Linked DNA regions of Drosophila melanogaster. Each later gene encodes a partner of the first gene's protein in a complex. Each region holds a gene or a part of one and is shown on either strand. Other genes may lie near its edges.

Region 1 (8,941 bases):
CTCAGCCTTCCGATCCAGTTCCACCAGGGCAATATCGTTTTTAAAGCCCTGCTCTTCGTCTTCAGTATCATATCCAGGGTGCACCACATAGTTGACCACCCGAAAGTCCTGAACCAGAGCATCATCGGTGGTGCTGTTGTAGTCCAGCTCCCCCAGGCGAACTACAAATTTGGGCGAATCAAAGTTTGGGTCCAGTCGCTCGGCCTTCGATCTGACAATTAAAAGTACACATATGGAAGGAGTATCACTCAAGAGAATCCCAGAGAATACTTACTCATCCGTCTCCAGGCAATGCGCCGCAGTCAGTACGAATTTGGGATGCACCACGGATCCACCACAATCCCAATTGATGTCCGACTTGGACTTGTTGGGCCGATGAGTGCCGATTAGGGCCATGAAGGGAAACTCTTTACCGGATGCCTTTGTGCCGCCCACGATGAAGGGCGTGGACTGGCAGGCGGATCTGACCTCGTTGTATTGCTTGCACTCTAAAAAAAAAAAACGAATATTCAAATTCCATCAATCGAAGGGAATTGTTGCAGTCACTCCTCACGCTTCTCAAAAGGCCTCGTCTGTTCGGCTGGCTTCAGATTCTGGTGATCCAGCGGTATGGGACAGCAGACAATGTCGTTGAACTCGTCGCAGTACTTGACTTCGGCTCCGATCAGGTGCTGGTTGTAGAATATCACTGGACAGTCGGAGGGCGTCAGCTCCTTGCACTCGCCCGTTCCATTGTCGCAGTACTCGGTCACCACGCTGACTGAAGCAATCAGCAACAGAATCTGGATTCCCGGAAGCGCATACATCGCAGTGCTCTGCGATCACAACTGAGAACGGCGCTCGAGGTGGACAAGATCACCAACTACAGGTTATCTACGAAGAGCTTTAAGCTGGGCTTATTAAGTCAAGCTTTTGATTGTAAAGCTGGAGGGAGGACTTGGGCCGACAGCTGTGACTTACAAAAAGTTCCCTTAGTATCTAACTTAAACATATCTGAGAACTGTTTACACATTCAATGGAAAATGAATAATGCAATAAGCGATAAAATATAAGATAATACTACTATAAATTAGGCTTATGTCGTTATGTCAGCTTGAACTGACTTGGGAGTCCCACAAAGTCTAATTGTGGCGCATGTTTTGCATGTGCTGATGCTGCTGCATGTGCTGCATATACATTTGTTGCTGCTGGTTGATTTGCTGCTGCTGCTGTAGGTTGCCACCGCTGCCCAAGGGAACGCTGGTTGTTTGTACTGCGTTGATTTGTTGCTGCTGCATCTGTTGTTGCTGCTGTTGCTGCTGCTGCTGCTGCTGTTGCTGTTGTTGTTGCTGCTGTTGTTGCTGATGTGGTTGCTGCGGCTGCTGCTGATGCTGTGTTTGCATTGGAGACTGCGTTTGGCTGGTTATTGCATTATTGCTGGTATTGTCGTTGCTGAAATTGGAAAAGTTATGTTTAAACCGAAGTAGAGTTTGAATTAAATGGCCCTTACATCTTTTCAGTGTGAATATCCTCCAAGTTAAGGTGGGTTATGAACCTCAGGCGCATTTGCAGCAGGGGCCGTAGCCGCTTAATGATGGCTTCCGATTCGTTCTTAATGATATTACCCACATGTATATACTTAATGTGATAGCTGAAATGATACAAACACATTTGTTTAGTACCCTTTCATGCGATTTTGTGGATTTGCTTACAGGAAATCGCAGATCTGGTCCATGTACTGCAGAGGCTTCGGACCATGATGCTTGTCCACGATCTCAAGAATTTCGTAAAGCAACACGGCTATGCCAGCCACAGCGTTCGGTTTTTCCAACTCTATTCGTTGCAGGAAGGGGCCAAAAACGTGGCACAAATACAGCAATTGTTGTTCGGTTCGCACGCACGGCTTTAGCTTCTCCTTGAGGTACCTGGTCATTGCCGCCAGCTTAAAGGCGCCCATGTGATGGAACACTGAGTGAGCTACTGCCAACACCACGGCGTAGGTCTTTTCTAGCATCGCCTCACGCACTGTCTTGAAGTTAAACAACTCGAAAGCATTGAATCTGTAGGTCCAGTTCAGCATATTGGGTGTGTTGAGCATATCCTGTAGGCGATCGTATATGCCGCTCCAGTAGGGCTCAGGCAAGGCAGCCAGAACAATGCCCACAGCATTAATGTAGCTGTGAATGTCCTTTTGCGGAATAACCGCATATCCGCTTACTATAACATCGATGAGATTGCTGGCCACCAGTGGCGGTGCCACCGGCAGACCCAGCAGCTCCACGCATGTCACATAGAGCGCATGGGTTGGCGCATTCGGGAACTCGTTAAAACGCCAATCGGTGGAGTAAAATACATTCTTCCCACTAATTGCTGCAAAATAAAAGGGGTTACGCATGAATATATGAACACATCATAGTATTTTCCCAAATCCTAGCTTACTGTCTGCAAGTCTCCTGATCAAACTCATATAGTAGCTCAATTCGGGGGTCCACAGCGAGTCTTGGCTTTGCAAATACACCTTGTACGGCTCACTAACACTCCAGTTGGGCGGCCGAATCTCGCTAAAGGCGCTGGTGATAGCGCCAACCTGGAACAACACAGTGTATTAGAAGAAGGGAATATAATATTCATAACAAATCTTACAAGTTTCTTCTTTAGCGCAGGGCGGTCTCGTAAGATTCGCTCATAATAATGGAGGGTGTTGTACAGATATGTTATAGGTCGATCTGCAATTTAAAGGGTAATTTAAAGTTATGAAATTCTCGAAAGCCACTTTTAACATACCGTGAAACTTGTAGAGTATGCTCAGATGATCCAAAATGAAGCCCAATATCTGGTGGACATTTGTAATGGTAAGTTCGATAAATCTGTGCACTACCACATCCAGAACGGGAAGGAATCGCAGACAGACATTGCTGAAGTACACGGGCAGCGGAATCTGTGAAGCTGACTCGTCCAACGCGAACTTCTCTGGATACTTTTGATGGAATGACAAGTGTTTGTCCTGCCTGAGAAATAATAACAACTATGCCTTTGTGCTCTTAACAAAATCAAGTGTCCAACTTACCAGTTGCTCTGCTTCCAGTGATCAGGATTATTGTCCTTGCAGAACTCCTGAACACGATTTCTCAGCTCGCTGGCTTTCAGCAAGAGCAGCTGAATTATGAGAAAGCAGACTTGAGCCTCGTTACCCTCGTGCGTTCGCAGAGCCAGGCAAAGCACAACCCTATCGATGGTCACAACGTTGAACTTCCAAATCATGTTGTTAATGGTGTCGACGCACTTGTGAATAAAGTCGCGGCCATCCGATGAGCTAGCTACCTCAGCCACCAAGTAGTCACAAAATTTACGCAGATGAGTGGACAAGGCTCTCGCGCTTATACCCTCCAAAATTCTAAAAAAAAAGGTATGGTCAGAAAAAATGATTGTGTTTAAATCATAATGTTACGCACTTGTAAGCCACTGGGCTTATGTTCTCCGTCTCCCAAATTATTTTGAACAGAAGGCAAAGGAATAAAGGATTCGTAGTTGGACGCAAGAAGTGCGCAATTATGTCATTCTCGTTGGTCATCGACGTCCAGGTTCGATATTCCTCTTCCACGGCCTTCTTCAACTGCTGCTTGTTCTCCGGAGGTTGGTTGTTCTGCGTAAAGTACTCGTTTAAGGCGGGCGGAAAGCAGGCTAGGGAATGCATGGGCCACGAGTGCGGCGTGTGCTGAATGATGTTGGAAAGGAAGTCCTTGCACCATCCCTGCATTTCATCGCCGCCACCATGTACGTGCATGGATCGAGCTAGCGTAAGAATAAGTACTCTGTTTAGCTCTTCGCTCTCATTAGACGCCACTGCTCCGGGAGATTTGTCGTTAAAGTAACGCGAAAACTGCGGCTGAAACTCGGCGGATCCAATGCTGGTGATCAGACGCAGTGCAGTAGATTCAAAACTATACAAAGGGAAGAACTTAGAAAGAAGTCTATACTCGATAAACGTATAACTAACCAGAGATTGAGCTGCATCTTGTTTGTCTGCGGCACGGAGGACAGAGAATGAAGGAGAGACAGCAATTGGACCCGGTAGTGAGTAGGAACATGGTGCAGCCGGTACGAAAACATCTCCATTAAGGTGTGCAGCATGGCCCACGCATGGTTCTTAAACACTGTTGGCATCAGTTGGCCTTTAGGAGGAAAAAAAACCATAAACATATTGTTTAATCACTTCAACAGGCTGTACTTACTCAGGAATCCCTTTATACCGAGCGACTCGATTTCTGTATAAACCAGAAGTCTGGCATAAGTTTCCAGTAGTGCAGCCGCTGGAACTTGACCCTTGCTTTGGGCCTGTTTTAACATCTGAGTTACGAAGCTGTGGATTAACGACATCTTACTGTGCACCGTCAAGCTGTCCAGAACCGTGACCGAAAAAGTTACGGCTGGGATTTGGCCACCGTTTGGAGATTTTGAAGTGCCATTTAGGGCATCCAGCAGTAGACCCATGGGACGCCCGAAGTACTCCTGATTCGTTGAGTATGCATTGCAGATGAGAATTATGCGGAAGTCGTTTCCTAGCGTCATGTTCATCATGGTGTTAGCCGTGACTAGGTGCTGCAGAAAGCTGGGAATTAAGCAGTTAGTATCTAAACACCAAAGGAAGTTAGAGGTATTACTCGTAGTGGTTTTTCAGTGCAATTGGCAATGGTCTGGTGATGTTCATGTTTTCCACTCGTGCCTTCTTCATCAGGTGAATCCAAACGCAAATGGGTGCCATATGGCGAACCATCGAGGATTTATTGATATCTGGCAGCTTAAGAGGCTCTAGCTCGGGATATAGTAGGTCAAACAATCTGAACACAGGCAGGAAATTGGTGATCTAAAATTAAAAGCGATTAAAAATAAGATCAATCAGGTGGAGAACAGGATCTTACAGGATTTTTCTGTATGCTTCCGGATATAAACTGCAACAGAATCCACATAAGTTGATCGCGACCCTTGCGAAGCTCCAACTTGGAAAGCTATAGGTGAAAAGTAGTTAATTACAAGAAATATTAATTTCATCCACCATGGACCTACCTTTTCGTGGAGCGCCAACACTATGTGCATAAAGCTTACGAACTGAAAGAGCACAAAGTAAATTAGTTGCGAAGAGAGATGCAGCCACATCCACTCGTAGGGCGTGATCTGCTCGTCTGAGGAGTTAAAGCCACTTCCCGCAGTGGCATCATTCGCCTCCGTCATCTCCATGGCCTGCACTATGAGATTAACCAACTGCTCTTCCAGGGCATTGTAGCGCTGCTTCTGATGCTTTTGCAGGTTCAGCATTTGAGAGACCATTTCCCTTGAGTACGGCTGCTCCAAAACGTAGCGGAGTAGGGGCTTCTGCTCTTCGAGCAGCTCTGGCTCGTAGGGCAGGCTACCCTTAAAGTTAAACTTCAGGGTATTGTGGTCCAGTCGCCAGGAGTTCATCATGTGATCGGCATAGCCGAAATGCTCTACGATGGGAAGCATGCTGGCATGTCCAATGATCGAAACCATTTGTGCCGTGGTGCGGAACTCTTCGACAAAGTCGGTCATCAGCCGGTTGAGTTTCCAGTGGTAAGGAAACGGACGCATAATCTCGTTGGCAATAAAGTAGGCGGGCAGCAGGCAATTGTTGCGATCAAAGATGAATCGCAGGATATCCTCAACGGCCAGTAGCTGTGGCATGTAGGTAACGTTGACGTTCAGCGGAAACCATTGTGCCTTGTCGCGGCATACCTTCATGATCTCGCGCACACCCTTGTAGTCCACCTGGACGATCACACGCTTGATCAGCCGGAAGCTCTCGATCCAGAAGGTCCTGTGCTCGAAGTCCAGTTTCTCGCACATCAGCACCTTGTCGCACAGCATCCTGGCGGTGATCACGTGTGCGTCCACCAGCTTCACCAGTGCCGCCATCAGCACTTTGATGTGATATCCGGAGGCACCGGCGGCACGCAACAGGTAGAGCCGAAGCACCTGCTCCCGGTTCTCCTGCGCCACGTTCCCAAAGGCGGTAACTGAAACAGATAGTTTTTAACAATTTTCGAGTTCCAGCAGACGCATTTACCTACCCAAATCATTGGCGAAGCGGGTAGCTCGTTCTTGCTCGGTGTTTGGCTTGAATACAATGACGCTAACGAACGCCTCGTCAAGGGAGTCGACCTTCTGCGAAATGGAGAGCGTGGATGAGTGGGTGATTTTTTGGAGACGCAGGGTTTCACTATTACCAGAAACTCGTTAACGGTGTCTATAACTTGCGTTTCCATATCCATTTAAATTATTTTTCGCATATCCGACACCGCATAAACAAAAACTACCTGGGCACAGTGTGACCAAATGGGGCTTAGTAAAGAATCTAAAAGTGGCTTTTTCTGATAACAAGAAATAGCTAAAGGATTAGATTAAAAACGCCAGGCAGGCAGCACTGACTGATTAGCCGGCATTTAAAGCAGCTGGTCGCATTGAGTCGAAAATTACTTTAGAAACTAATTGACTTGATTTGTGGAATCGCACAAAAATCATGAAGAAAGTTCTGGTTACAGGCGGAACTGGGCTGGTGGGCAAGGCCCTGGAGGCTGTGATCAAGGAGCAGTCCCCAGAGGACGAGCAATGGTTTTTTGCGGGCTCTAAAGATGCAGATTTGACGTAAGTCATGAAGAAATTCAATTGAACGTATCCGTAAACAAATTCTCTCCACAGAAATCTGGCCGCCACGCAGGCACTCTTCGCCCGAGAGAAGCCCACGCATGTCATCCATCTGGCTGCAATGGTCGGAGGCCTGTTCCACAACATGAACAACAACCTGGACTTCTTGGTGAGCTCCTGGTCTCACAGATGATTCCAAAACCCATTTCATGCGAATCCACTTTTAGCGCAACAACCTGCTCATTAACGACAATGTCCTGCAAACGGCACACGAGCAGGGATGCGTGAAGGTGGTGTCCTGCCTGTCCACATGCATTTTTCCGGACAAAACCAGCTACCCCATAGATGAGACCATGGTGCACAATGGGCCGCCGCACCCCTCCAATTATGGTTACTCCTACGCAAAGCGACTGATAGACGTGCAGAACCACGCCTACCACGATAAATATGGCCGGGTGTACACCTCGGTCATTCCGTGCAACATATTCGGTCCCCACGACAACTATAATCCAGAGGTCAGCCACGTTATTCCGGGCATGATCTATAGGATGCACCAGCTGGTTACGGAGAAGACTGACGTCCCCGAAAACGACAAGGTGTTCACCGTTTTCGGAAGCGGCATGCCACTACGGCAGTTTGTATACTCCCGGGACCTGGCGGAGCTGATGATCTGGGTGCTCAGGAACTACGAAAGTGTGGAGCCCATCATCCTAAGCGCGGACGAAGTGCAGGAGGTGACGATCTTCGAGGTGGCCCAAGCCGTTGCAAAAGCATTTAATTTTAATGTGGGTTAAAAAGCGAAATTTGAGACAAGGCAAGATATTAACTTGATTTATTCCAGGGAAGACTGGTCTGTGATACGAGCAAGTCGGATGGACAGTACAAAAAGACTGCGTCTAATGCCAAGCTTCGCTCCTTCCTGCCAGACTACGCATTTACGGACTTGGAAACGGCAATCAACGCCTCGGTTAAGTGGTACATAGAAAACTACGACCAGGCTAGAAAGTAATTGAATATTCCAACCCCAAAAAAAAATGTAAATAGACAACGAATTTTCACAGAACTTTATGCGCGTTTAATGTCCAACAAAATAACAATACCTTAATCAGTCCAGGAGTCGCCGTATTGGTTCTTCCTTCCAGCGGGTTCACTTTGTGCCTGCTCCACGGGTCGCTGTTGAACGGCAACTGGTGGTTCGTAAGGTCGCGAGTATGGACTCTGCTGGTGCTTCGAATACTCTTCTCGGTTCCTTCGTCGCAGGTCCTCGTAAGACTGGCCCGGCTTAGACGGCTCCAAGGGCAACTCTGCCTCCAGCATTGAACCAGCTGCTGGGAAGGAGAATGTACAGAATCATAATAGGGAATGCGAAGAATTAGATGAGCTTACAGTCCAGGGTGGGGCGGTAGATGTCGTCAAGGCCGGACAAAGTAGGGCGCGATTCCGTGTCCAGATTGAGAGAAGTGCTCCTCCCGGGCTGATACGCCTCATCGCTGTACACGTCCGCCGAGCTCGGCGAGAAGGGGGCCAGAGTGAAGGCCCTGCCCAGATTCTCGTCCGGTGTGATGGAGCTGATGACACCGCCGCCCTGTCTACGCTGACGCAGCAGCTCGCCCAGATGGGAGTTGGGTAGGCGCATGATCTTCTCGGCACACTTCTGCTGGTAACTGAACTTGCCCACAAAGTAGCCCAGAATGACGCCCATCACGACCTTGGGCACGGCGCCGTACTTGACGTGTCCCTGCAAATAGCCGTTCTTGACGCCGAAGTAGGCCAGCAGGCCCAGTCCAGTGCCGAAAGGCAGGCTGCGCTGGAAGAAAGACTCAGTGTTGCACTCACGTAACGCCTTCACCTCCTCCGCAGAAAACTGATAGTCCGCCTGAAATAGATGCAAACGTTTGGGTAGTGGCAGTTTAAGGACCGTAGAGCACTCACCAGGGGGTGGGGAGCGTGCGGCGGTGGATGGTGAGAGCCATCGTTCAGCGGGGAGTCCATGCTGATACAATTTAATGTGGAATTTGTGAAATGTATAACGGACCAACTACCGGCGCAGCCGATTTGCCAACCCTGGTCGCCGGCGAAACGGGCCAGTGACTTCTGCACATCTCCAGAACTAGTGATGGTCGATCTATGCACGATGGTTGCGATAGGGACTCTTTGTCTATCCTAAACTGGTTAAAAACCTTTTTCTTTAAGAAGTTAAAACTAAATAACAAAGACAACATTCATTTACAGTTGATACAATGGAATTTGTTGTCAATATAAGTAAAATTTGGAATAGACTTTCATTTGATCTTAGTAGTAAACA
Region 2 (5,773 bases), on another chromosome or scaffold:
GCGTATATAATAACGATTTCCTTGAATTGATAAGATTGTCTAATATTAATAAACTTAGGGCTCATCACTATGAGCATTAGGGAATTTATCAAACGGCTCTTTACTGCTTTACTCTTTACTAAATATAACGATGATTAACAAGATATGAGGGCATCCGAAAGTCGACTTCCCGCCATATCACGCACTTCACTCTTTGACATTGAAATAAACGACGCAGCCACAATACAGAAACTATTGGCTGCTGACGTATTTGGGCAGAATGTGGTATACACATATCTTTATGTAACGCAACTTCCTGGGGGGAATCCTGGGTGGGTGCGAGTTAGTAGTATCTCATCCCCACCACCGACTTACCATCGCAGTCGGTTATTACACTGTCGAAGCCTGCTAGCCACTCGGTCACCTTGGCGGAGGATAATTCCAGGAGATTGGTGCACGACTGCTTGTACATGTTGATAGCTGCCTGTCGCGAAAATCTGGCGAAGTTACAACTCATCTATGGCTTTGCAGCGACGACTATCTTATACACATCACTTTTAATTTATTAATTGACTCTCGATTGCGAGAAACTCCCTGAGAATTAAAGCAGCTGTTGGCGCCTGTTAAGGCTATGTTACTATCTGTCAGATTTCAGCGTAGCTGTTAATGCGCCATGTTAAAGTCAACAGAGTGCTAACAAGTGTTTGGCGCCAAATTTGAATTTAAGGGCTCCTTGGAAGCAGAACTTCTGTGCAACAAATGCTTATATTCGAAAAATGAACTAAGCTCCCCAAACTATTGTAAACACACACTTTGATCATTTTTATGCTTGTTTATTGTTTTATGTGCCTAATCACTAAAATTAATTACTTATAGTACAGGCATTTTTATTTTGTTGAATCTCAGCTTTCTTTTGTGTTTATAAACTTGCTGGAAGAACAAACCATTGCAGAAATTTAATTGAAATACTGACCCTACACACGTTACAAGGTTGGTAAGCAAATTAAAGAGGTTGCAAAGCAGCGTTTTTGTGGCGGCGTGGCGAGGGGTGTGTTTGTGTGGAGGGAAGAGCTGGAATCGAGAGCGAAAACGTTCTTGCGTTTTGTACCATAACTTGCGTTTAAATAAATCTCATTAAGCTAGCGCGAAAACGAACGAAAAATTGTTGGCTAATTACAGAAATAAACTATTTTACATTTACAATAATCATAAATTAATAACTAGGACACGAAACGATATCGAGAAAATTGCATGTAGAGGACCGAGGCCCTCTGCGTTTTTTTTATGTTGCCATTTGGGGTGCGTCTGCTGATGAGAGGTAATGAGCCAAGTCTATTTTGCTAAAGGATCCTGCCTAAAACTGCGACATAAGCAGACTCCCACCGACGCCGCCCCCGCCACCACCTCCTCCTCCGCCGCCGCCACCTGGACCGCCACTAGTGCCCAGCACAGATCCCAGCAGACCGCCACTTGACATCTGCTGTTGCTGCATGGGCATCTGCTGTTGCTGCTGCATCTGCATCGATGAGGAGAAGCTATTCATGTTCCCCACAACGCCAGGTCCCATACTGGCACTAAGGCTGGACAGCCCGGGTCCTCCAGGTCCTCCTCCCAGCGATCCCAGACTAGTGGCTCCCATTACACCCGCTGCTCCGCCCAAGCTCGCTCCTCCGGGCAGCAAGCCCACGCCCGGTTCGGGGCTCTGGTTTTTCTTTTTACGCTTTTTCTCCTTTTTGCGCTTCTTGCGCTCCTTGTCGTCCTCATGGCGTTTCTGCTTCTTGTGCTTTTTCTCGTAAGTCTCCAGGCCGGCCGAGTCTGCAAGATGGTTATCATTGGATTATGTGTGATCGAGTTGCTCGATAATTCAGCAGATTGCTTACCGAGCAGCGTGGATTCCTGTCCCGTGGTCACCCCGTCTTTGTGTTTTTGCTTTTTGTGTTTGTTTTTGTGTTTACGCGCAGGTGTGACATATGTGGTACGATACTGTTCCGGCAGCTGAAAGGAGCACCAGAATCGGATAAATTAGCAATGTGAAAGTGCAGAGGAAAAAAATAATATATTTTATGCAATTTGTTCTAGTAACGATTTATCCATTGTTTGAAATATATGACATGTAAAAAATATTTCACGAAACCTTTTAAGATGAATTATTATTATTATTAGATTGCATATAGGGTGAAAGAAAACTCTCAATAATATTAAATGCCAATATTTCAATAACAAGAAAGGAAGGACAATCCGTCAACAAGGAAGGTTAGTTTTTTTTTTTTTTTTGAATATCATAATATTAAACCATATGGCAGCAATATGAATTAGTGGCCTAAACTGGCGCGTTCTGATTTATGCACTACTTGCAACAAAAATTTAAAACTGAAAGAAAACGGGCAGGCGGACATGGCCTTATCGACTCAGCTGTTCATATAGATCACTGCGTTGCGAACTACTGACTTAATATACACTGTTCAAAAGAGGTTTAAAGGGAAAACCAACATTTACACTCTTGTTAATTTAAGTAATTTTTGTGATTAATGACTAAAATATTTGTGTTTCAAATTTGTTGTTGAACATAAGGAAAATGAATTACAACTCTAAAATACTACGGTGATTATAGAAATAAGTGACAGAAAAGGTGCGACCAAATAACACTTTATAGTAGATCAGTCTGTGCAAGGACACTTAAATCCAAATTTCATATGCAAATTTTAAAAAGCGAAATTAATGCATGCAAATGTATAGAGACGCAAAGCATTGAATAGCGTCTAAATGTATTCTAAGATGTTCAATGTGCCGTATCTAAAGATTCGTCATTTTTCAAACTGAGCAAGCGAATTAAAAGCATATTGGAAAAACCAACCGGTCCGGGATGCAAGCGGAATCCGGCCAGCTGCACGGGAGTCAGCGGAAGAAGCTCCTTTCCACCAATGGGCGGCTTTTCGATCACGCTCCGCAGCGTGCTATTCTCCACGGGATGCGTGATGAGGTCGTTAATGCCGGGGATGTTCTGCAGAAACGAGGCCAGCGACTCCTTGAACTTCTTCTCCTTGAACTTGGTGAGTGTGTGGTGCAGTCCGTACTCGGTCATGAGATCCTTGTCGCCGGTAAGTTCTGCCTTGGCGGGTGGTTCCTTCATGGAGTAAAATGGCCCCGTGTGAATGATCGTTGGCGTCTTGCCCAGCGAAATGGTCGTTTTCAGGGTGCCGGATGAGTCTTGACGGGCCACCACGGGTGATCGGCCGCCGCCGTGGGGCGATGACTTCGGTGAGTCCATCATGTTGCCGTAGTTGCTCATCATCTTGGAAACTCAGCGATTCTCTTCACTCTTGGCAACCCACGCACACAATCGCACCGCACCGCACACGCTCACGCACACAGGGGCACAGCAACAAGGCAAGGCCAGCAGAAGGTGTCGCCTGTCGCGGCTCTCGGGCAACGCTGGCCAAGCTCACACTCTGCAAAATGCGCCGCGTCTGCCCGGCACTTCGGCTGACTCTTTTCTGGTCGAAAACTGAACTAATTATTTGCTCTTGTGGCGTTTTCTAACAGATTTCGGGGGCAAGTCTCGCCATCTTGTTGTGTCCGCGAACCAGTGTGACCGCATTGCGACAGCTAGCGAAATACTGAGGCTTCAACGAAAACGCGAGATGAACGCGACGTGAAAATACCAAAAGTGTTGTGGGAAATATCCCAGATGGGGAATACCACACAGGGTTGTACTGTAGGGCAAACTATCGAATATTCATCGTATAATACATTTTTAATTACCTATAGATATAATAAAGTTAATATTACTTTGGAACTCTTATTATATATGTATCGTATGTACGTTGAGTTATATATTTTTAAAACAGTTATTTTACAGTTTATTTATTACAGTTTATTTTATACGTACAAAAACATTAATTAATGGGTGCCAAAACTATAAAAGCCGGCTTACACGTATAGTTGGCTTGTTTTTAGGTAGCTTTTGCTACAACAAATGACCCATAAAGTGAATATTGTATAAACTAGCAATTGAGTGACGGACATATCGTATTTTGAACGATCATCAAGCTAATATTTTTATACACATCTTTTTCATACGAAAATGTTTTAGAATTTCAAATTCCAACAGAGTGGAAAATCACCAAAACAATCGATAGCATCGCGGCCATCATATGACCACTATCGAATGCACATCGCCAGCCCTGCGACCGCTCCGAGCCCCACAACACGAAAAACAGTCGGAAAAACACACATCAAACTAGTGTTGTGTTTGTAGTTAAATAACGATTATCCTCATAACTCGCCCGCACCAGCCATGCAATTCACGCTCCGTCATGTTGTTTCGGCAGTAGCCAAGGTAAGGATCGGGCGACATAACCGATTCCCCAAACGCCATCGCCCCTCAAGTTATGCAATCTAACCTCACCGAGGGGGTCGAGAAATGGGCAGGAAAAGGCTGGAAAATGCACTTGGATCACCTGCAGTGCTCATATGATCCCGGTGGGTGATTCACTGGCGTTTGGGGATTTGTTTGGCCCCGTTTTCAAGGTCGCTAATTAGGCCAATTATCAGCTGATAGTCGGCCGAAGATTAGTGCGAAATGCGTGCGACTGGCGTGATAAATGATAAGGTGCCACAACATGTAGTAATCTGCCGTCTTTACAGACTCCTCTGCGCACCAATGCCGCCATTCTGGGTGCCCTCAACGCCCGCTGCTACTCCAGCACCCACGAGGCGGACATCGTGGTGATTGGCTCCGGACCCGGTGGCTATGTCGCCGCCATCAAGGCCGCCCAGATGGGCATGAAGACGGTCAGCGTGGAGAAGGAGGCAACTCTGGGCGGCACCTGCCTGAATGTTGGCTGCATTCCCTCAAAGGCGCTGCTGAACAACTCCCACTACTACCACATGGCCCACTCCGGTGATCTGGAGAAACGTGGTATTAGCTGCGGCAGCGTTAGCCTGGATCTGGAGAAGCTTATGGGTCAAAAGTCCAACGCCGTGAAGGCTTTGACCGGTGGCATTGCCATGCTTTTCAAGAAGAACAAGGTCACACAGCTGACGGGCTTCGGCACCATCGTCAATCCCAACGAGGTGGAGGTTAAGAAATCCGACGGCTCCACGGAGACTGTCAAGACCAAGAACATCCTCATCGCCACCGGCTCGGAGGTTACCCCCTTCCCTGGCATTGAAGTAAGTGCAAAACCTCTACAGCGCGCTTGATTACTAATGCATGCCATTCAAAAACCTTCACAGATCGACGAGGAAGTTATTGTGAGCAGCACTGGCGCCCTGAAGCTGGCCAAGGTGCCCAAGCATCTGGTTGTCATCGGCGCCGGTGTCATTGGCCTGGAGCTGGGTTCGGTATGGTCGCGTCTGGGCGCTGAGGTCACTGCCATTGAGTTCATGGATACGATCGGCGGCGTGGGCATCGATAACGAAGTCTCCAAGACGTTCCAAAAGGTGCTCACCAAGCAGGGTCTTAAGTTCAAGCTGGGCACCAAGGTGACGGCTGCCTCTCGCAGCGGCGACAACGTCACCGTGTCCGTGGAGAACGCCAAGTCTGGCGAGAAAGAGGAGATCCAGTGCGACGCCCTGCTGGTCAGTGTTGGACGTCGTCCCTACACCGAAGGTTTGGGTCTGGAGGCCGTGGGCATTGTTAAGGATGACCGCGGCAGGATCCCCGTCAACGCCACTTTCCAAACTGTGGTGCCCAATATTTACGCCATCGGCGACTGCATCCACGGACCCATGTTGGCGCACAAGGCTGAAGATGAGGGCCTCATCACCATTGAGGGCATCAACGGCGGCC
Region 3 (5,733 bases), on another chromosome or scaffold:
TTGGGAAGACAAAAAATGAAACAAAGAAAATACAAAACATTTTTGAAAAGTGTGGCAATTTGTGGGCGTTAGAGAAGCGTTGGAGATGAGAAAATCCAATTGCGTTATAAACACCCTCTGCACTGAGCTCAAAAAAGCTGGAAGCTGAAAATATTCATTTTAAAGAGGTGGGCTAAAGAAATTGGTTATTTAAGTTATTGGTTTTTTAAGTGCGGGCAATCGAAAAAAAAAATTTGTCAAAGGTTTTCTTAAGGGTGGGAAAACGATAAAAACTAATAATAATGGTTGGGCAAACGTTTTTTATTGATAATATTTAGTTTTAAGAGATGGTCAAACGCTCTATTCTCTGAATAGACCGAGATTAACTTGAATGTCTTATATTTTCTAAAGTATACGTTTTTTCAAAATTCAAAAGTGTTGGCAAACGATGTTATTGCAATTTAAAATATAAAATTTTTGAAAAAGTACACTTTTTGATTATCGAACTTTTTTGAAAATTCAGATCTCAAAGACTGGACGTGGACAAAAAAAAACTAATTGGTGGGCACACGATTCCAGCTTTCAAATTTCGAAAATTCCATTTTTCCGAACCCAGCTTCTTTGAGCTTCTGCAAGGATAGACACAAAGACAAATACAATTGAATCATACCCGAATCTGTTGTCAGAGCGGCCTGTTGAAACCCGTCGCTGGCTTTTGCACCAAATCTTGTATTTGTTGCGACCTGTCCTTCTCTTTCCTTACTTCTTTTTTCCTTTTTTAATTTGCGTTGCCGTGAGCTTGGTGTAGATGGTATTGGAAGTGGCGCAGGAACAATTGAGTTTAATTTTTTTGGATTTAACGAACCGTTATTGTCATTCTCATCGGAATCCGAAGCTATGTCAATAACAACTGAAGCTTCGTTTATCTTCACGGTGCTGTCATCGGTCAAGTTAATCACGGAATTTACCGAATGATCTATGACGATGGGCTGAGGAGAGGCCACGTGGCAACTTCGGATGGAATGCGAATGTCGCCGATCCTTGTGAGTATGCAATGTCGTTATAGCGATGTTTTCGTGGCGATCGCTATCTTTTATACTATTTACAAGGTTGGAGAAGTTCGGATGAAGTAGGGTATGTTCACCCGAAAGCGGAGGCTCCGCAGAGTCGATATTTGAATGCAAATCTGAAACTATTTGCTGCGAAGGAGCAATTGGTTCTGTAATAAAGCTGGTGATAGGGGACTTAACCAAATCTAATGCTGGTTGTGAAGATGAAATTTGACTGGGATGTGCCAAATTTTCAGTGGCTGTTTGCTGAATTCCTACCATTTCCCGCCACTTTTTCAGCAAGGATTTTGCACGTCGAGCCAAATGTTCATTCTTAGTCCTTCTTCTGAGCTGATTTATGTACTTAGCCAATCTGGTGGCCTCCAACTGCTCCTTGGTGATAGTTGTACCCTCCAATGCACATATGACACAGAGAACTGCGTCCATATTGACGACCTGAAAAGATCTTTACATTAACTGATTTGTTGATAAGGTAATACGTTTTCTTACATCGTAGTTTTGATCAAGTGCCTGGGATAGGTGAGTAGTAAGTTCCTGTATTTCGATTTGGTTCATTTATATCTTGCGGTGCGTAAATATTGCCCTGATCCAGATTCAAGGGACGGCGAAATGCAAATACTGTCCAAGTTAGAAAAATAAGGAAAGTAATAGAAAAGTAAGTAGTAGGTAGAAAGTAAAAAGTTATAGTGTATTCACTTCACGTTGTTGCAAAATAAATACTATTATAAATAGCCGTAAAATTGCTATTAAGTAAAGTTTAAAGACCCAGAAGTTCAAAAATTTTAATACCCGAGTTAGTAGCGTGTCTGTGAAACACTCATACCAATACAAAACGTGTATTGCTCAATCGTTATGCTTACAAATATGCACACTTCGAATGTAAAGTCTGTGCTTCCTGAGCGCACTTCCTTGAATATGAAAATTTGTATTTGTCCAAAATAAGGAAAATTAATAATTTATGGTTGACTTCCCGACTTTATTACAATTCGCCATTTTTACCAATGACAGCTGCACTTCAAGGGTGGCAGAAAATCGATAAGTATTTAACAATTATTATCGATATACTTTCACGTGAATTTCTTTTAACAGGAAGGCCTGATCATACTGCTATCAAACAGAATTGAAGAGGAATTGTATTATATGTGACATGAAAACCTATAGGAGTATTATATAAAGTAAACGTCCATTTTTGGGCTAAATGCGTGAATCTCAAAATGAAAAAAGGGTCAAATATACCAGACCAGAAAATGAAGGTTTTGTTGCTTTGTGGTTTGGATATTTTCCCGTTGTCCTATATATTTTGTAAAATATAAAACGATTTCGTAGATTCTCCGTCCAGTTACCCGCTTTACTTAATATGGAGAATATTAAAATATTGTTTGTTTTTTTACCCTTAACTTATTTTATTCGGACTAGCAATGCCGTTTTTTTTTTGTTAAGGATATATAAAGATTCTTAAACTCTTTCATTTCAATGCGAAATATTTGAAAAAAGTGTGTATATATAGGATTTGTACAAAACAAATGCTCTCGGTGTTCTTCAAAAACAAAAAACAAACAAATGGCTTACAATTACCAAACCCCATAACTTGGGTTAAGGGATCATCTCACAATTGAAAAAAAGTAAACTATAGTACTATCCTTCAGCACCAAAATCGAGTATATATTTTTTTCTTATTGCAAAACCTTTGGAAGCCTTTTGTATATAAGAATATATTTTACATTTAATAAGCAACAGAAAAAGAATATGTTTAATTTTTTATATTCACATTTTACCACAGCGGCTTTTTTTTTAATATGTTCTATAATATTATTCTTATTCTGAACCTCGAGCAGAAGAGATTTTATTGACCTTCCCGTCTAAGAACTGAGCTACCCCATGCTTATACTGTGTTTCCGTGTTTGACAAAAACCAAAACTGACTGTGTCCATATATATAGTGTAATTGGAATATAAACGGTTAGTAGTACTAAATTAGGAAGAATGCTTGTCCGATCCGTTCACACTGGTAACGTTAGAATACCGGAGAAAAACTATTATTACTTAAAATGCTAATTAAGTTTAAAAAACATTTTTGTATTTCAGTACAATAATAAAAAATTTAATCATCTCCGCTAGTGAGCAAAATTCAAATATAACGACAGTGACTCTTCTGCATATAAACTTGAGATTTGCAAAAATATAGATGCATCAACTTCATAAATTCACACTTGGCTGGTTTGTCGCTCTTACCGAAATATCCTGATATATTCCTTTTGCACATACATAAATATACTTATATTATATGTCGTTTTTAATACATACCCCCACATTAATCACACTGCACATGGTCTATTCAAAGCCATATAAATAACAAGATGCGTAACGGCCATACCAAAGACACTAGAATAACAAGATGCGTAACGGCCATACATTGGTTTGGCACTATGCAGCCACTTTTTTGGTGACGGCCAAAATTGCTCTCTTTCCGCTCGCTCACGCTGAGAACATAAGAAATCTAAAAATAGAATTTGCTTGCTTGTGTGAGTAAAAACAAGAGACGGGAACGCGTATATGTGTGGGTGTTGTGCTAGAAGACGATTTTCGGGCCGAAATCAATTCTGATCAAAGAAATGAATTTACATTGTACATATTAGGGTAGTTTTTTGCCAATTTCGTAGCAATATGATGAAATAAAATAATTTTTAAAAATTCGCGCCCTTCTTATTATAATTTTAAAATTTTAATTTTAATTTTAAAATTTTTTAATTTTAAAGCTTTTTAAATTCGTTTGTTAAAATCGCCGCTCGAATTAGCTACCGTTTACATATTTATATTTATGTTGATAATTATTTATGTGTAATATGTGTAATAGTCGGTACCCAGGGAACACTACGGGGAGGCCATTACAATTGTAATGGGGTCTTATATTTACGTATATGACCTTCGAGTCGACTTGAAATATTTTAATGTTTAACATTAAAACATTTCCATATTCCCCAATTAAGTTATTTTTCTAACTATTGTTTTTTATTATATATTGCTCGATTTTTCAGTCGTCAGTTATTTAAATAACGCTCATTTTTTTTATTCATGAGATAGAATGCTGAGCTTAGCTTGCTTTTTTTGTCTATCAGCTATCACAGTCCACTTACAATGCTTAAAAAGCAAAACTTTTATAAGTTTGTTTAAAAGATCTGTTCTATGTGCATAACATTCATTATTTTCATAAAACCATAATGGGAAGGCACTACTTTCATTTGTGCACTTAATGCATTGCTCAACAATAAATTTTTTTATACACATTTGTTTTTTATTATTTTTAAAAATATTTTCGAAAGCTTTAATGTGTATTTTGTAAATATTAAAAAATAAATCAGATGGTGCCCTTAATTTCCCGAAGTCCGATTCTATTGAGTAGTTTTTCTCATGTATAAAAAGCTCTGATGGAGCTGTTAAATGCTCGGTTTCTTTTAAAATTACCGATCTGCATTTATCGCAACTGGATCCCTTAGCAATATATCCAACAAAATATCTACTGGAAGTTAATTCAATGGGTACATCATTGCACAAAAAGTTATCTATATTTTGGTCAAAGTACCTCTCATTGTCTTGCACGATTTTGGAAAATGATACAGAGTATTCTTGTTGCTGTATTTCTTTTTTTTCAACGAAAGGCTGATATATTATCGAATCGAACTCTATTGGCAACATAACATCATCATCTGATTCGCAATTCGACTTTTGTGAAAATTTAAAAATGTGTAGAGATATGAGCTTGGCAATTATTATATTAAATTCGTTAACTGAAGGATTTCTGCAGTTACCACCTTTTGCTCGAACGCACGCAAATATATTTTCAAGGGGATCCTGGTTAACTCTACTAGTTAAAAAGAAAAAGTGGTCTGTGTGATCCTTAAAGAGATCTTCGACGAGTCCAAATATAGCTTCAGTAGTTTGGATCAAGCCATCAACACAATATATTTTATTCCCGTGATATTTAACGCTCTTTAGGTATTCCTGCATTTCCTTTAGTTTGTTCCAAACTCCATTGTTAACTTGGAGCGCGCATTTCATGGGGTTTTTGTCAGTTAATACTCTGCTATTCAGGCAATCAAAGTAATCATTATCTTTTTGGACAAATGCAGCCGTAGAAGCTGCAACTTCGGAACTATTTCGATGTAATTGCTTGTTTTGGTTACAAGTCTTAATTGCCGCTGCAACAGTGTGGCTAAGTGTTTGAGTTGCCAAACATACGCGCATTAGCTCAAATCTGGTTGGATTAACGTGACTCCTTGTTAATTTAGTCATTCTCGTTACTGATCCATGATCTAATTCGTAAACCTCTCGAATGACATCAAAGTCAACTAGTCCGTCAGGGGTTTCAAAATTAGCTCTTAGAAAATTATTCCTTACAGACTTGAAAAGATGCGGAATGTCATAAAACATATATTTTTTATTATTTAAGGTAAAGTAAGGTTTCTCATTGGTGACTTCAAGTAGTGAGGTACATTTTCTATTGTTACCTCCTTGATCATACACAACACCCCTTACTTTGAACCCAATTGTTTCAGCAATAATAATATTTTTATAAATAAGACTTTTTAAGCAATCGCCTTTTATATTCGTTTCGGCCACAAAATAGTTTAAAATAAATTTCCATTTTTTTAAAATACCCCGAAGAACAAATACGCAAATATGGCTTC
Region 4 (8,494 bases), on another chromosome or scaffold:
ATATATTTAAAAAAAAAAATTATGACGATGATTTTCAAATATATTACGACACCGGTTGCATGTCGAAAATTTAGGTTTTAAAATTTTCTTCGTTTCGAAGTATCCAAACTTGGCTTGAATCCCGCTGAATCCGAAGTCCGCTTACCAGCACTACGCAACAACTATCGAGCAGACTGTTATCGGGTGCAACCATCGATTAATTACACATATCGCTGGGCAGAAACAAGGAAAGGATAGAAAGCACTCGAAGTGATTTTTTACATCAGTTCTATTGTTAACGGTAGGCCAAAGATTCAGTGAAACAATTGCCCTTAAACCACTGACATTTCAAACAATGCAACCTGTCCCTCAAGCAGCAAAAGCCCCCCAGAGAGCCAGAAACTTTCGAGCACAGCCAAACGCGGAAGACGAAACGCCAGCGAGACGAGGACGCCAAGATGATTAAACTATTCACGCTTAAGCAGCAGAAGAAAGACGGCGAGCAAAAGGGCAGTCAGCAGAAGAAAGCGTCCGCCGCCCAGCTGCGCATACAGAAAGGTAGTCTCCAATCCAGCACCTGGTATGATCAACTCTCGCTTATTACTTATCCATCTTGGGCTGTTTTCCTCCCCCCAGATATTAACGAACTGAACCTGCCAAACACTTGCGCCACAGACTTTCCCGATCCCAATGACTTGCTCAACTTCAAGCTTATCATCTCGCCCGACGAGGGCTTCTACAGAGACGGGCGCTTCGTGTTCAATTTCCGCGTCGGATCCAACTATCCGCACGAGCCGCCCAAGGTGAAGTGCGCCACCCAGGTGTACCATCCCAATATTGACCTGGATGGCAACGTCTGCCTCAACATTCTGCGCGAGGACTGGAATCCAGTGCTGAACATCAACTCCATCGTCTATGGCTTGCAGTTTCTATTCTTGGTTTGTATTTCGTGATTTGTGTTATTTTAGAGGCTATACGCTTTGTTCCATAAGTCTTGATCAACAGCCACAGTTTTCAAGTTACAATTGATTTTTTATGTCTTGTTTTGTGAACAATTGATTTCTAAGTGTGCTTAATTGAACGCCCACTGAAACAATTCAATATAAATGTTTGTTTATACCACTTAACGATCATTATTTCTATTTTTGTTATTACCCAAGCCAACAGTATTACTAATCCAAATTAACTGCTTCCAGGAACCCAATCCCGAGGATCCGCTCAACAAGGAGGCGGCCGACGTCCTGCAGACCAACCGCCGTCAGTTCGAGAACAATGTAAAGAAGGCGATGCGTGGTGGCTGTGTGGGCGAGACCTACTTCGAGTGCTGTCTGCTCAAGTGATATAGGGAATCGCAAGGTCTCTTACTTTAAGCCTGTCCATACACCTCCCCCTACACCCGCTAACTGAAGAAGATGAAGCAAAACACAGACGAACATCGGCGACAACAAATTATTGTAATAAACGAAAACAAAATCCACTGCGTGCAAAGAAGAAGCCGAGTCAAGTCACCAATTTCTAGTTTTTAATACAATTCATTTAGCAATTTCGCCCACCCGTCTCTTAATCATAATCGGCATACCCAATGTGGCAATCATCCAAATCCCTCACAGATGAATGCTGTGCCTGGCCATCTGCATATTTCGCCACAGGCAAAGATCAGACACAGCGGACAGTCTTCCTGCCTGGATTCGCAGATCGTATAGTCTGCTGATGAGACCCACTTTTATGTCGTCGGTGACCAAAACTTTCAGGAGCTGTTGCACCAGGCCGTTGGGCAGCAAGCGCAGGACGGGAGCGACCCTCTCACCACCGCATTCCACCAGCAGCGAAATGAACTGATAAACAAAAACGGCCTTGGGCGACAGTTCATCTCCACTGACAAACTGCAGGAACACTGCGAAAATGTGCTGCACGCTCGTCTGCAGTGGTTCTCTTAGAGTAAGCGGCGTAGTCCGCAGTTCAGATGTGGAAGTGGAGCCCAATAATGCTGCCAGGCCAGCTCCGGTCGTAGTGTCCGTAAAGTCGCTTGAGTTGTCGCTGCCATCGCCAATCACCTTGCGCACTTTGGCTGCATTGGCCGCCAGTTCCTCGTCATCGTGAGATCTCGATCGCTTCTTCATGGCCGTCAAAGCGGAAGTGCCATTTCCTTTGCGGCTCTCCAGGCAGGAAATAATACAGTAAACACAGAGGCGGGCCAGTACCAGGGATTGGGGCTCATTAATGTCCTCACTAGAAAAAAAAAAGATTGCCAAATTGTGAGTACGAGTTCTATCATAGCAGTTTCAATTTTTACATCCTTTCTTGCTAAATCGATTCGATTTGTAGATAATAAATAAATGAAATAATATACAGAAGAAAATATTGGTATTTACCCTTGTCGTCGCAGTATCAGTGGAGCCACCACGTACTGGAGCAACGCCTCAGTGGTCTTCTCAATGTCGAGATGCATTACGGCAAACACAACGTCCATGGTTCGCGACATATCCCTTGTGTACTTGCAGGCCAGCAGTTGCTCCACCAACTGCGTGGACAGCCACGCCGCGCCACCGGCTAGCAGAAGCGACTCCAACGACTGAGCGGCGCGAACGGGCAGGTGACCAGCATCGACTACTGTTCGCCACACCTCCCGAAACTGCTCGACTAGCGGGGAATGTGAAATGAGGCGGGACTTGGTACTTGGGGCAGGATGCACATCGTGTTGCATTTTTCTGATAATCTGATAGGAGAGAGCTAGTCGCTCCTTGGCATTTTCCTGGCTGGAAAGCTCTTCGCTGGTCAACGGAGCCAGGAACTGCTGAATCATGTTTAGTGGTTTCAGAAGTTCCGTTTCCTTCACCGAATACATGTAGGCGCATAGAAAACTAGTGGCGCAAACGGAAAAACTGAAAAGTCTTCTCTTAATATTGTCCAGAATACTTTTAACGTCCGCCGAGGATAGCGTTTCCTGCTCCCAAGCTATTAGCACATGATGAAGCACTCCGGGCAGATTAAGGCAAGTCTCCTGCCAACTTAAGTTGTTTGGCTTAAGTTGTGATGCCTCTGGTTTACTGAAGCTAAGCAAAAGCTCGTCGACAATACTGTCATCACAGAGGGCAAGAATTTGACGCGGATTCTTAAGCTTATTCCTTTCCACCATGCACTCACGCACCCATTTTTCAAAAAATGAGTCACCACGCTCAGATAAGACCACCTGAAGTAAAATAGAATTCATTAAAATTGCAGCGTAATAACAGGCGGGTTTACGAACATCGGATCCATAGGTCTGCACAATGCTTGTCAACATTAGGAAGGAAACATCAAACAGAGTGGACCGGATGACGCATAGCTTGCCCAGGTCGCCCGGCACCGGCTTGGAGTTCTCATTGCACTGGATCAGACGCGATACGAATGTCTTGAGGCGTCCCTCGACGGTAGCCACTGAAAGAATCAACTCGAAGCTGTTGCCCACCGGCACTTGGCAAAGGACATTAACCATGTCCTGGACCTTGTTGGTGCACAGCGTTTTTAGTACTCCGGAAAGCGGAACCTCTGCGCGCTTGATGAAGTTTATATTGGAGGGTGTCTGTTGGCCATTGTCGCATTTTTTGAGTAATTGAGAGGCGGCTTCCCTGAAAGAGTTCGTTTTAAATTATATAATTAAGATGGGTGTACAAAATGCATGATTTCTCGACTAACCTTTGACTGGCGAACTTCTTTACGTGGACATCATTGACTAGTTGTTGCTTGGTCCAGTCATTCAAAAGGAACTCGATCATATTGCATGAGCACTTAGTATCCATGAAGTCTAGCAGCAGATTGTCCTCGATGAGCAATTCCAAAGCCTCCACCAACTCGGGTATGTAATCGGCCGGTGGTGGTTGCTCCCCGGGAATCCGTTGCAGGGCGTGCAATTGCTTAATGATGTGCGGCATTTTAAAGAACATAAAGGCACCCCACATAGTGTCAGGACTTGTATCCGCAACATTGCTCAGCGTGAGGAATCCAGCACGGATGATTTCGTAGAAGAGCCGTGTATTGGAGTATTTCTTTAATCGTTGCAGCATCTGCAACTCAGCCACGTAGTAGCTGGTGTCCTTGCACGGATTGAGAAGCACTTCCACCGCCAGTAAGGGTTGCACGCAGCACGAGATCTTCTCGAGTGTTGACGGCGGATTAAGTGGTTGCATTTCAAGATGCTTGGCTTCTATAAAGGCCAACTGCTGCAATTGCTGCTCCACTTGTGGTGCATTTAGCGTAAAGTTTGAGTTCGTCAACGATCCCTTGATGGTAGCGTACTTATCCCGAATCCGTCCACATATTTCGAGCTCTTCGTGACAGCCCACGTACAGCATAGACAGCAGGAACTGCTGCTGGCTAAGCCGATCTATCACCACGCAGGTCTGGTCCAGCATGTATGATTGCTCAGCACTAATCTCACCATACAGTTCATAGTGCTGCACAGTTCTGGCGAAGATTTGAAGCAGCCAGTACACCAAGTGGACGACGGAACTCGGTAAAACCGCTTCCTCAGATTTTATTCTGGAAATAGAAATGAACAATTATTTTTACTCCTGCTTTTTAACGACTTATAAAACTAAAAGGACTTACCGGCAGGTAACGCCATCCACGATGCTGGCCAGGAATTCAAGGAGCGCTGTAATGCAATAAACGCGCTCTAATTTGTCATATTTGGCAATGCACCGAATAACAGCAGCGTGAGAAACGAGATGGGCGCACAGTGAATGCTTCAGGTAGTTAAGAACCAACTGAAAAGCATAGATTACAATTTAGAAAACAATCTAAATACTCAGATCAACTACTCACCGGATTAGCCGTGGAACCAATGAGTGCCTGCTGCATCAGACAGTCAGCCAGATTGTATACATCTCCACTGACTCCTCTCGGCAGCACCTGAAATAGTAATCAAGGGAAAGACAATAATGAAACATTTTCTTTTCCTGTCAAACTTTAACACAATATCTGGGTCACAACCCCATAAAATAAACAGAAACAGAACCACTTAAAAATCTAGTTAGGATTTCCACTTATATAGTTAGCACACATAGTTGCATATTTCGTTACGCGATAAAAAATGTTTCGTTTAAAATTATTTCGCAGTCCTGGAGACGTATTAAGCACTTTAATTAGCGGAGCTGCAACGGATTGCTGCAGGAAGACGTCACATTGTTTGGAGTTGGATCGCGCTCCCGCTGTCGCTGCCTGCTGGATCTGTATGCGGATGATCAGTCAATATCAGTTCAGGACCACGAAACCAGCCTACTATCCAGATCGCCAGCGGGAGGCGAAGCGAACGTCAGCGGGAGCCACGCCTCAACAGGTGTCATCTCCGGCTGTTAAGTACCCGCAAAGCCGAGGCATGCCCAAGGACTACTACTACAAAGTGTTAGGCGTCAACAGGCACGCCACCATCCAGCAAATCAGATCGGCTTTCTATGCGCTGGCCAAGCGCTATCATCCCGACTCGACGCACTCGGAACAAAAGCTGAAGCACTTCCAGGAGCTGTCCAACGCCTACAACATCCTAACCGACGAGACGAAGCGCTTGGAGTACGATCAGCTGGGCGGGATTAAGGATGAGCGCGCTTTTCTTGAACAGGCGGGCAATCCCCTAAATGTGGGCCTCGAGGAGGCCAAGAAGTTCGATTCGGATAAGACGACAAATGATGGTAAGCAGACGGATTTTAGATACATCAAACACCATTTCACTTTTCACTATATCACGATATGAACACGATCCTTGAATCGCCTTCTAGAGATCAACAAACTGAAGAGCAACGAGTTCGATCTGCCACTTGACTTCCTTGAGGCGACAGTGGGATGCAAGAAGCGGATAGAGCTGCGCTACTTGCGGAAATGCGAGACCTGCAAGGGCAAGTCACAATTGATGGCGCATCGGGATGTGGGCAAGGAACCCTGTCGGCGATGCAATGGAACTGGAAAGGTCATGACCAAAACGCCAACCTTCTCATCGGTGAACACATGCACGCAGTGCAAGGGCAAGCGATTCACAAATCGCAACGACTGCGAAACATGTTCGAATCGCGGCTTCGTGGTGTCCAATGTGGATGTGATGGTATCGGTGCCTTCCGGATCCCGGGACGGTGATGTGGTGAACATTATAAATCCGGAAACGAAGCAGCAGGTCACCTACCGCTTGTCGGTGCCGTCTAGCGACTATTTCCGACGCGTTGGCAATGACATTCTAACCGACAAGCACCTAAACATCTCGGAGGCCATTCTGGGCGGATCCTTTCAGATACGGGGTCTGTACGAAAGCGTGGAGCTGCGTGTGGAGCCGGGCACCCAATCCCACACCCAGGTGGTGCTCAATGGCAAGGGGGTGCGCTCCAGGGAGGGCGTGGGCAACCACATCGTCACGCTGAAGGTGCGTATACCCCGGAATCTCTCCGTAAAGCAACGCCAACTGGTTTTGGCACTGTCCCAGGCAGAGGATCCGGTTTTCGAGCCCAAGACTAAGAGCACGGAGGCGGGCAATTTGAGTCACTAAAATTCTCAATGTACCGGCCTCATTGCGTTTACAATATATTGGTAAACACGAACATTGATTGTTTGGTGTGTTGATTTGCTTGGGTTGCCTTGCCTTTTTTATGTTGATGCCCCACTGGGAGTCCGTCCAGCGCTCGCGCCACGCCACATAGATGAGTTGGAGGATCTTGTTGTTCTCCTTCATCTCTCGCGTCCGTGGAAGTAATATAACTTTTACTTTTCTCGTATTTCACGCAATTTATTTTATTTAAACCTAATATATTTTTTAGCAGCGCTCAGTGTGACCGAGGTATCTTTTATTAATCATACCAAAAGAGTACCATAATTTTCCCATCCTACAGTGTTGAAAAACACACAATCTTAAAATTTGTCGCCAATTTTAAATATTTTGAAAATTTTGTTTTTGCAACGAGGAATTTAGCCAAATAAAGGAAATAATATTAAAATATATTTTAAGACACCGAAAAGGCACCCACAAACAAATTTTAATTCAAATAATTTATTGAATACAATAAAGTAGCGTATGAGTTTCATTTGTAAACTGTTTTCATTTTAAACATTATGTTCTAAAATATTTGACTTTGTACAAAATATATTCTATTTATATATGCCGAAAATTGTTCCTCCATTGCACGCTCCGATTTTTTGAATTTCATTTCACTCATCGTGTCGCTAGCTGAATGTTAAATTTTAAATTGAATATATAATATATATATATAGGTGTGGTGTATGTGCTTAATCCGAGATATTTCGATATGATTAAACAATAGCTAGGCGAGAACTTTACATACAAATCGAGTTCGGTGGATTGTCAAGGGAAGATGCGCGAGGACTGGAAAAATAAAAAAATTAAAAACTAATTTGCAAAGGCCGTTTATTTTGTATAAAAAGCTGGCAACTCAAATATCAAAGCGAATCTGTAAATCCGTCTAAATTATTAATTAACAACTAACTTAGGAGTGTATGACAAAAGCATTTCACATTCCAATGGCAGCGCCAGGAACGGAGGCTTAAAACTAAAAAATGTTTTGGGTAGGGAGAGGCCGTACAAAGGAATATTGGCTGGTACAAAACGAGGAAGAATCATCGCTGACAACGTTAAGAGCTAAATTAAGTCTATGACCTATTTATTTACTTAAATACGCTTGACGCCACAGAGCCACCGTCGTTTATTCATCATCATTATCGCCGCCGCCAGTCGCCAAGCATCATTGTAATCACTTTAGCATCATCGTCCTTATTACTTTGAGGAGTGAGTTTCGTTTACCATCGCTGCATCTCTCATTTTTGATCATTGACCTTGTCTAAGCGGATGAGGGTCCCACGGGATCGTCACCCTTCACGGCCGACGCATAGGAGCTACTTGGTTTGTCGACACCACCGGTAACAGAAACAGCCGACTTGCCATCACCGCCACTTCCACCAGTGCCTGCTCCGGCTGCACTTGCACTGCTCGGCGGAACTCCAGCTGCTCCGCCAATGCTCACGCCACTGTTAAGGCCTAGAGTTTGAGGTGAATCAACTAGAGAATTTGTTTCGATTGTGGGTTTGGTTGGGATGTGTGTAAGTGTGAAGTGTGTGCGAGAAGCGAACAGTTAAGCACCTTTGATATCCATGGCATAGTGGTCCTCCAGCCGCAGGTCGTGCCTCTTTATTAGCTGGCACTCTGCGCCCTCGACGGTGGGAATGGAATACACGTACAAGTACCCATCCTGCGAGGCAATCAAAAGTCTACAAATACAACAGAATGAACCGTTATTTAGAACTTGAAATAGAGGCAGGGTAATCAGTTTGTAGTTCAATTTGCACGTGATTCAATTTTTGTTTTATAAACCTTTATGAAATGTACTAGGCTACTTTTGCAAAGAGCATATTAATTACATTTCAACAGAGTTCAGGGAAATTCAAACATATGAAGCCAGATAAAGTAGGTAGTGTAAATGATTTACGCGGAACAACTGCATTGGTATCTAGAACTCAGATTCCCTACCTGAGGTATTAAGCTCGC

What was found.
Region 2: MED23 (region 1) and MED19 share a complex: the UniProt entries of both Drosophila melanogaster proteins name them as parts of the mediator complex.
Region 3: MED23 (region 1) and MED26 share a complex: the UniProt entries of both Drosophila melanogaster proteins name them as parts of the mediator complex.
Region 4: MED23 (region 1) and MED24 share a complex: the UniProt entries of both Drosophila melanogaster proteins name them as parts of the mediator complex.

What each region holds. Positions count from the first base shown.
Region 1 is NT_033778.4:22,886,330-22,895,270, reverse strand, and holds MED23 (mediator complex subunit 23), read right to left. Parts: upstream 6,344-8,941; 5' UTR 6,258-6,343; coding exon 6,219-6,257; intron 6,157-6,218; coding exon 6,063-6,156; intron 6,009-6,062; coding exon 5,044-6,008; intron 4,986-5,043; coding exon 4,899-4,985; intron 4,844-4,898; coding exon 4,641-4,843; intron 4,589-4,640; coding exon 4,212-4,588; intron 4,152-4,211; coding exon 3,977-4,151; intron 3,921-3,976; coding exon 3,432-3,920; intron 3,374-3,431; coding exon 3,047-3,373; intron 2,988-3,046; coding exon 2,764-2,987; intron 2,706-2,763; coding exon 2,623-2,705; intron 2,567-2,622; coding exon 2,419-2,566; intron 2,350-2,418; coding exon 1,692-2,349; intron 1,631-1,691; coding exon 1,490-1,630; intron 1,432-1,489; coding exon 1,122-1,431; 3' UTR 846-1,121; downstream 1-845. Other genes in the region: CG3700 (uncharacterized protein), read right to left, coding at 1-211, 275-488, 554-806; Gmer (GDP-4-keto-6-deoxy-D-mannose 3,5-epimerase/4-reductase), read left to right, coding at 6,512-6,636, 6,691-6,805, 6,864-7,421, 7,478-7,645; asrij, read right to left, coding at 7,738-7,964, 8,023-8,512, 8,569-8,628. UniProt on the Drosophila melanogaster protein: Component of the Mediator complex, a coactivator involved in the regulated transcription of nearly all RNA polymerase II-dependent genes.
Region 2 is NT_037436.4:17,842,921-17,848,693, forward strand, and holds MED19 (mediator complex subunit 19), read right to left. Parts: upstream 3,582-5,773; 5' UTR 3,272-3,581; coding exon 2,834-3,271; intron 1,975-2,833; coding exon 1,860-1,974; intron 1,795-1,859; coding exon 1,334-1,794; 3' UTR 805-1,333; downstream 1-804. Other genes in the region: CG5567 (uncharacterized protein), read right to left, coding at 355-496; CG7430 (uncharacterized protein), read left to right, coding at 4,277-4,318, 4,627-5,154, 5,218-5,773. UniProt on the Drosophila melanogaster protein: Component of the Mediator complex, a coactivator involved in the regulated transcription of nearly all RNA polymerase II-dependent genes.
Region 3 is NC_004353.4:785,543-791,275, forward strand, and holds the start of MED26 (mediator complex subunit 26), read right to left. Parts: upstream 3,437-5,733; 5' UTR 3,353-3,436; intron 2,073-3,352; exon of another isoform or gene 1,910-2,072; intron 1,668-1,909; 5' UTR 1,605-1,667; coding exon 1,539-1,604; intron 1,485-1,538; coding exon 650-1,484; intron 1-649. UniProt on the Drosophila melanogaster protein: Component of the Mediator complex, a coactivator involved in the regulated transcription of nearly all RNA polymerase II-dependent genes.
Region 4 is NT_037436.4:8,189,565-8,198,058, reverse strand, and holds MED24 (mediator complex subunit 24), read right to left. Parts: upstream 6,790-8,494; 5' UTR 6,671-6,789; coding exon 6,581-6,670; intron 6,538-6,580; exon of another isoform or gene 6,488-6,537; coding exon of another isoform or gene 5,733-6,487; intron 5,646-5,732; coding exon of another isoform or gene 5,051-5,645; exon of another isoform or gene 4,943-5,050; intron 4,870-4,942; coding exon 4,783-4,869; intron 4,725-4,782; coding exon 4,567-4,724; intron 4,498-4,566; coding exon 3,655-4,497; intron 3,588-3,654; coding exon 3,227-3,587; intron 3,170-3,226; coding exon 2,352-3,169; intron 2,213-2,351; exon of another isoform or gene 2,209-2,212; coding exon 1,584-2,208; 3' UTR 1,486-1,583; downstream 1-1,485. Other genes in the region: NEDD8-conjugating enzyme UbcE2M, read left to right, coding at 438-537, 616-917, 1,176-1,319; CG7387 (uncharacterized protein), read left to right, coding at 5,051-5,645, 5,733-6,487; Atg18a (Autophagy-related 18a), read right to left, coding at 7,791-8,008, 8,090-8,217. UniProt on the Drosophila melanogaster protein: Component of the Mediator complex, a coactivator involved in the regulated transcription of nearly all RNA polymerase II-dependent genes.